Linked DNA regions of Arabidopsis thaliana. The protein of the gene in region 1 interacts with the protein of each later gene in a pairwise test. Each region holds a gene or a part of one and is shown on either strand. Other genes may lie near its edges.

Region 1 (4,391 bases):
GCCTTTGTTTCGATATTTCACACTTGTTCTAATTTTGATCATTATGCTCATGTTCCATTTATGTACGTCGTCGTGACTTCTTAGGTCGCGAAAGTTGATACAATCAAAAGGACACGAGAAGACCATTTACAAAGTCCAAATCATAATATTATAATGAAAGTTGTTTGATACAAACAAAAGTCACGAAAATGCATTTATAAAAGTCCAACTGATCTATTATTATAAAACCGGATTGCATCTTTCTTTTGACCTTATCTTCAGCCTAAATATATAATTCTCAAACCAAGGACGGCAACCAAAAAAAAAAAAAAAAGACATTACCAATAGAGAGGTTTCATCAGATTTAACACTTTCGTTCAGACCTAATATATTAGAATATTTTCTTGGCAATCTAAAACTAAAACTTTATGAACTAATCATATAATTTATCTTCTTGATATTTCTGATTTATATTGTCCAAACTAAATAACTTGGTTTTGGTCGAACTTTAGTCATAGACCGGATCAACAACTCTAAAACCTCAAAAGCTTGTCGGGAACTGTGGGATCAGTCCAAAAATAACTCAATTCTTTCGGCTATTATTCATTTTGTCCTAATTGACATATCCTTATCCACAAATTGGGTACACATAAACTATGGTGGATGAATTTCTTTGCTTATGCAAAAATAAGGAGATATTTCGAACGTATTTATTCTCTTTTGCTCGTGGTCGATAAAGACCTTTTTCAGCTGAATACGTATATTCTTTCTTTAGATTAGGACATGTATGAACCTTTAGCCCCTTTTGCATACATGTGCTCATTCATTAGAGTGTCGCATAATATCTTTTAATACGAGGAGTTTTAGAATAAGTAACAAACCTTAGCGTGTGTTCATCAAAAAACTTGCAGAACCAAACAATCTTAAGATCTCTCTCATGACCAAAAAAAGATTGGTGGAATCATTTTAATGTGGTTCCATTAGTCTAGTCCAAGATTGTTCTTTGATACCTTTAGTTCCGCATCTCAAAACATCTTCAAACCAGTAAAAATGACATAAGACATGACATCATATTATTTATCCAGGTCTAGATGTTCAGTGATAATGAGTTACAGAGATAATGAGAACAAGAACGAGAGACAGAGAGATACGAGATCTTACAGACTCCACAAGTGATATTTCATGGCAAGAACTTGTCGAGGCTAGATGTGAGTGTGGTTTTGGGCACTGCACCTATGATTGTATCCTTCTTCTCGCCACCGACAAAGATCATGATCGTTGGGATGCTTCTAACTCCGTACTGGCCGGGAGTATTAGGAGATTCATCAGTGTTTAATTTGTAGAACTTGATCTTCCCAGTGTAATGCTGTGCTAGATCGTTTACAAGCGGATCAATCATCTTGCAAGGTCCACACCATGGTGCCCAAAAGTCGACAACTACAGGCCCAGTTGCTTTAAGAACTAGAGAGTCCCATGTCGAGTCATTGACCACTTGAACTGCAGGATCAATAACACAAATCAACACCTTATTGCCAAAGCTTTTAGAATCATGAATGAAAACAAAATATATCAGCCAAGGTGGACGAATAAAACAAAGAGACAGCTGACCCGTTTATCCATCTTCAGCTAGATCAGTATGTTGTAGCAAGTCTATATGATATTTCCTAAAAATGATCTAGAAGTGAAAGTTTTTCAAAATAGAAATTTGATAGATCCAGTGAAGGATAAAGCTTTATGTTTTCACCAGAGAGGAGAGACCAATGACTGAGTTAACATTGTAGCAGATAATACTGCTAATCTCACCAAACACATTATCACGGAAAAGGACTTACCTATCTAAAATCGTAGAATATCAATGCTAGTGATAACCAAAATCGTTATCTGCTGGTATAGAGAATCAAGATATGTTTACTCTAAAGCACAAAAAGCAACATTCTTCTCTCATGAGCCAAATAACTGTTTCTTGTCACAATGTGTATGATCCAACCAATAAAATATCTGAGTAGGTACCCAACCTAATTTCTAGGTTTGTTAGAGAGACTTTGCATTAATCAAGTAAAATATCCCCAAAAAAGAAGTGATCCTAAAAAGCAACCTTCTTCAAATTTCACGCAAATGGCATGAATCGTTCCTCTAACAGAAACCTCATTTTCAGCAAGAATTTTCTCAAAAGGTATACTCTCCTAAAGAAACTCTTCTTCCTCCTCCAGATTCACTAATCTGTAACTAATCTCAAGTTTTTAGCAGATTACTAAATGCTACAACAAGAACAACAACACAAATTCAAGCACCTTGCTTCTAATTTCCCTCGCACAAATCAATAATCAGTTCTCAAAATCCACCAACGAGCACGAATCAAAGACAAGTTAATAACCAAAATCGAAAAAGGAATAGTGAGAAAACATACTATCGGTAGTAGTTTCCTGAGCTTCACAGACGACGGCTCTTCGTAATCGAGAAACCCTAGGTTGATGAATCGAGGTCAACGAAGCCGGAGAGAGAGAAAGACGGATTCTCAAACCTGATGATTCCGGTAAGACGGCGAACATCCGCCGAGAAGAGAGAGAAGAAGCCGATGGTGATGAGGATACGATTCTGGTCTCGGAGCGGAGAGAAATCGGAGGACGAGAGGTACAAGTGAAAGCAGCCATGGCTATAGATAGAGAGAGGAGAGGTTTCTCCAAATCCCCAAGTGAAAAAATAATATCCAGATAGATAGAGAAAATAAAAAGATAACGAAACTAATGGAAGAGAAAATGTAGACAAAACACTGATGCAGATTTTTTATATATACATCAACACAAACAAATATTTTTGGAAAAATAAGTATTTCTACTAAAAATACAATTAAAATACAGTTGTGAAAAAAATCGAGAAATAATAAATTGAAATATTTTTGAATTTTTTTGATTTGTTGAGCTGTAGATATCATTTGCCCAAAATAACCGAAAAAAGTAGAAAACGAAAACATATTGTAAATTGTTTTTTTAATTGTTTGGGTAAGATAGTGCTCTGACTAAGCCCATCTGTAATAAGCCCATAAAACTTTTGAGATATTTTTTATTGGGCTCATATTAGGCCAGTTGCACTTTTTTTTTTTAATCCAGTCACTTGTGGATTTAACAGAAATTTTAACAAAGTTCCGTTACCCGCAATTTGTGATCTCGGGTCAATTTAATGACTATTTTGGCAACATCAACAAAAAGTTAGCGACTGAAATAAGAAGTCACTAAAAGTTGACTATTGAAATGAAAAGTCAATAAAATTTAAACGTATTATTTTACCCCACACTAATTTTTTTTTTTTTTTTTTTTTTTTTGTATTTTTGAACATTTGAAGATCTCCTGACATTTTTTCGCAATTGTTTTTCTCAAAATTTTCTTTAAAAAAATAAATAAATTATAACGCTTGCTTATAAGATAACTAAAAGTCTAAAATTTTGAATAAAAAACTATTTGGCATGAAAAATTCGCTTTTGTTAACAATTTTCTTCAAAATTGGTTCGTTGAATCCTAAATAATATCTGATGACAAAAAAAAAGATTATAGCAAAAGTATTTTCTTGGAAAACCAACATTTTAAAACTTGATTGGTAATGGTATGACAATTAGCTCTTGAAAAATGAAAACAAAAACAAAATCTTAAAAATCTATAAAACTTTCAAAACCAACATTTTGGATCTGCCTCTTTTTCTTTTTCTTATATACCTCTAGTATTGAGGAACCACTTCAAAGTCTTTCCTCTGATGTCACTTTAGCTCGCTGACATCTCTTCTACTCCTCAATTTCTTTATAATCTCGGTAGATCTCTCTACTAAAGAAATTCCTCCTTTCTTGGTTTCTTCTCAATATTTTGTTTTATTTTTGTTTTCTCTTTCCACATGTCTCTTTTTATTATGTTACAAAAATTTCCTCAATGTTTTCTACGATGTTAGGTTCAATGCGTCCGGTCACCACTTATGTTTTCACTGTAAGAACTCATTATTCCCCAGCCCTATGCGAAGAAAGAAAATGGTGGTAGCTAGAGACCAAGTGATGGATTTTTACAAACGTGTTCATAGTGTCCTCACAGATAAAGAGTTGTCGAAATTAGAAGATTTGAGGCAGCTTATTCGATCAAAATAATCTTACAATAAAGAAGTTATCTTCAACACCGACATCATATCTCTTTTATATGATTCACAGTGTCATTGATGAAATGAAAAGTTGGTTGATAATATTTGTTGCGTTGGGGATGGGTTATTTGATGTTCGAATCCTGGGTTTTGTTTAAAAATTTCGTCTATTAATGTATATAGCTTAGATTGTTGTATATAAGCTTAGTTTGGTTAGTATAGATTTCATATAGAGTCTGTACAGGTTGGTATTCTATAAACCAATCTTAATTTTGGTTTAGAGGCTTATGGTTTAGGCCA
Region 2 (4,132 bases), on another chromosome or scaffold:
ATAAGAAGAACGGAAATATGTTTGAGAGGTGGAAGTAAGTAATAACTAACAATGTCACATGGTTCTCAAATATCAATCTAAAAATTTACAGTTCAATGAGTACTTAAGGAGAGTTAATTTGGGATTTTGAATATGTGCAGATGTTTTGATTGTCAAGGATTTGGTATGAAGAGTTGTCCTAAATGTGGCAAGGGAGGCTTGACGCCTGAACAGAGAGGGGAACGATAGACTTATACTATTTGTTTTTCCTACATAAGTTAATTTTGTGATACAAACATGTCTCTATTCCTATAACATTTCAGTCGTATAATTTGCATGTAAAAATAAAAATCATTAATAAATTATATTTTCGCTAGAATATTACAAAGCGTTTAGAAATGAGAAAGTGATATTAACAAAGTAAAAAAAAAAATGATATATTGTTAAGAACACATAAAATAGTCACACTTTCTGCTTACAAAACGGAAATGTAACTTTTAGTTGGCTTTTAACACGAAATATTAAGTTTTAGTTGCGCTTCGGACGTTATGTTTTTTTGAATCGTGTTTTCGCCATGTTCTTTTGTGCATAGGGAACCTTCGATTCCAATTCCATATCGATCAGTGTACCTCCGAAGAACCTTTCTTTGAACGTCGTAGTTCATGTTAGCCAATAGTCAGGAAGACTCAGAAGGTAGAAGTGTTGTACAACAATGTTTGGCATTTGGCGTAGCGTGATGAAATTAGAAGCTTGTTTGCGGTTAGCCATGTTGGGCTTTGCAAGTAATGGCCCATGACCAATACAATGCTATGAACAAAAGGCCCATCCGCTCATGACTCTTCTTATGTTTCTTTCTTAATTAAGCATAGATTACTAGCTTATGACAAAACATTGAAGATTGAACAGTAGTTAAATTACGTTGAATAGTAGTTAGATTGTACGGGGTTTTCTATATAAGAAAAAATGTTTACGATTGAGAAAGAAAAACAGAACTATAATAAACTTATGAAATTAAGCTTTAGATAGAATTACATCACTGTTGTAAAATTCAACTCCTCTTTAAATATTGAAAAGAATTCTGATAACTTCTGCAAAAGTGCAAAGGACTAAAATACGTATGGGGCGTGTGAGACAAAAACATTTAACATTTATACGATTCTATGCGACTAATTTATCTAATCGCCTGTTATAGCGACGTTATTCCAATTTCCAAGAAAAATCATCCCAATGTTGATTGATACCATTTAAGTACCTTACAAGTTACTAGTAAATTCATTTTAAAAATGTATTCTTTAATTGGACCGTCGTTACAATGTGAAATCCGAAAATAAAATATAAAAAAAAACTTAAGAGACACAACAGTAGAAGAAGGACCAAGTACACATGCCCAAACCCAATAATTCAGTTATCCAACTAATCTAAATAATATTCATGTTTTTATAATTGAAGAGACAAAGGAGAGAGGAATGTGATAAAATCATAAGAAAGGACACGTGGAGGTACGTGAAGGAAGTAGCGTGTGGAGAGAGTGATTGGAGAAGAGAGAGATGAAAAAAGACAGCTACCTACTCATCTTCCCAATCTATCTACCTACTTTCTCCCAGATCTACTTTTTTTTTGTTCTTTTTAACATTTTCCCAAAATTAGGTTTAAGTACTTTTTTTTGTTAATAATGCAGTAAACAATTGTTTAATTCAATAATGCAAAAAAAATTGGTTTAATTTTCCGCTAAACAAATTTATTGATATTAAAACGAGTTTACAAAATCGTTACAGAAACTAAGAAGTAAATTTGATGATGTTAAAAACACTTTATTCACTAACTGATTAGTGATTACTTAAACCGTTATTTAGTTATTTTCTCTTTTATAATCGATCTTTTTATACGAAAGTTACGCGTGACTATATTTTTTTATATGCAATAAGAATGGTTAAAAACAGTACATGTTGCAATGAATTGTGGAATTTGTAAAATGATTATGATATTTTTTTTGAGCAGATGAGATGATTCTAAAGAGCCAAAAAGTCAATAACCAAAACCGTACGATCTACATCTCAGAAAACAAAAAACAAAAAAAGTTAGGAAACTCCACCCACGTTCCTCCTGTGAGTGTACTACAATCAAATTTGTGTTTTCTGGTTGGTGTTACAATATTCTTTAGGCACAAAAAAACGAACACATCATTTCATTTGTTAGATACATTTTTATTTTTAACTTTGGTATTAAAATAATGTTAGGTAGTTATTATAAATAACATTCAAAACGAAAACACCATCCTACAGGAACTCTCTTCCTTGCAAAAAAAATAAAACACTATTTCCTCCAAATACACGTAGAGAGATACATATATACATATAGAGATCAACAAAGATGGGAAGATCACCATGCTGCGAGAAAGCTCACATGAACAAAGGAGCTTGGACTAAAGAAGAAGATCAGCTTCTTGTTGATTACATCCGTAAACACGGTGAAGGTTGCTGGCGATCTCTCCCTCGCGCCGCTGGTACTTATTCATACATCCTCTGTTTCTTTATATTTACAGAGAGGTAAAGATTTGATTTTTGATTGAACTTTGTGCAGGATTACAAAGATGTGGTAAGAGTTGTAGATTGAGATGGATGAATTATCTAAGACCAGATCTCAAAAGAGGCAATTTTACTGAAGAAGAAGATGAACTCATCATCAAGCTCCATAGCTTGCTCGGTAACAAGTTAGTCTCTTTCTCTCACACTTTTTTAAGAATATGATTATATTTGTGAAAGATTCTGAAACTTTGTGTTGTTGTTATAGATGGTCTTTAATAGCTGGGAGATTACCAGGAAGAACAGATAACGAGATCAAGAACTATTGGAACACTCATATCAAGAGGAAGCTTCTCAGCCGTGGGATTGATCCAAACTCTCACCGTCTGATCAACGAATCCGTCGTGTCTCCGTCGTCTCTTCAAAACGATGTCGTTGAGACTATACATCTTGATTTCTCTGGACCGGTTAAACCGGAACCGGTGCGTGAAGAGATTGGTATGGTTAATAATTGTGAGAGTAGTGGAACGACGTCGGAGAAGGATTATGGGAACGAGGAAGATTGGGTGTTGAATTTGGAACTCTCTGTTGGACCGAGTTATCGGTACGAGTCGACTCGGAAAGTGAGTGTTGTTGACTCGGCTGAGTCGACTCGACGGTGGGGTTCCGAGTTGTTTGGAGCTCATGAGAGTGATGCGGTGTGTTTGTGTTGTCGGATTGGGTTGTTTCGTAATGAGTCGTGTCGGAATTGTCGGGTTTCTGATGTTAGAACTCATTAGAGAGTCAATCGAGAATTCTTTAGGAATCTTTTTATATATTTAGATCGTCAATTGTGTTTTTTTTTTGTTCACATTTGTTATGTAACATCAAGTAAGAAACTAGCATAATTATTTGATGGCAAAGCCAAAAGATTGTGCTCAAAGAAATTTATAAAAACAACAATTAGGGCATGTTGTACTTGCAGATGCTAAAAAACGGTAATTTTTATAAATGTTATAATTTCATAATCTAGCAAACTAATTAATTTAATACTACATTTTATTTGTGATTAATCTTGTTATATGATATACGTCATATGTTTTAAGAGTTTTTTTTGGTTTCAAATTTCTATGTAGAATTAATGTTTTCATTTTTTAATTTACGTATGTCAATTAAATTCAGTGAAATGTAAATTTTAATGAAATTACCAAATTCAAGCGATGAAATCATGAAATCACATTTTTTTGCGTCACAAATAGTTTCTGAAAATATGTAATAATTCCAAGCCATGTAACTTAAAAATGTGGAGACAATATATAATTCGATGTCAAATTTCACCTATTTGAAGTGTTCCTATTAATTAGATTATACTATTGAATGAGTCATTTCAAGCAGATAATACGCAGAGCAACTTTGATGCAGACGTTAAAACCATACCTAAATGATGTTTGGTTTGGTGTCGTCACTTTTTGTATGTGCTTTTTAGTTCTTGCCTATTTTTTTGGCTATTCGCATGTCTTCTCTTCATTTTTTTTTGATTTTAACATACTAATCCACTTACATTTTGAATTTCAAATAACCTAACCTACAACCTTTACAAGTATTTTAGGAATTCAAAGAAAAATTTGAAAATGACATAACATAACTTTTTG

Evidence for each region.
Region 2: the proteins of ATHM2 (region 1) and MYB3 interact in a two-hybrid assay, tested with the Arabidopsis thaliana proteins (one large-scale study listed by BioGRID).

The regions. Positions count from the first base shown.
Region 1 is NC_003075.7:1,561,426-1,565,816, forward strand, and holds ATHM2 (Thioredoxin superfamily protein), read right to left. Parts: upstream 2,780-4,391; 5' UTR 2,631-2,779; coding exon 2,387-2,630; intron 1,971-2,386; exon of another isoform or gene 1,812-1,970; intron 1,477-1,811; coding exon 1,160-1,476; 3' UTR 778-1,159; downstream 1-777. UniProt on the Arabidopsis thaliana protein: Thiol-disulfide oxidoreductase that may participate in various redox reactions. May activate NADP-malate dehydrogenase.
Region 2 is NC_003070.9:8,003,940-8,008,071, forward strand, and holds MYB3 (myb domain protein 3), read left to right. Parts: upstream 1-2,124; 5' UTR 2,125-2,349; coding exon 2,350-2,482; intron 2,483-2,483; exon of another isoform or gene 2,484-2,559; coding exon 2,560-2,689; exon of another isoform or gene 2,690-2,722; coding exon of another isoform or gene 2,723-2,769; coding exon 2,770-3,280; 3' UTR 3,281-3,521; downstream 3,522-4,132. Other genes in the region: AT1G22630 (SSUH2-like protein), read left to right, coding at 1-34, 141-228.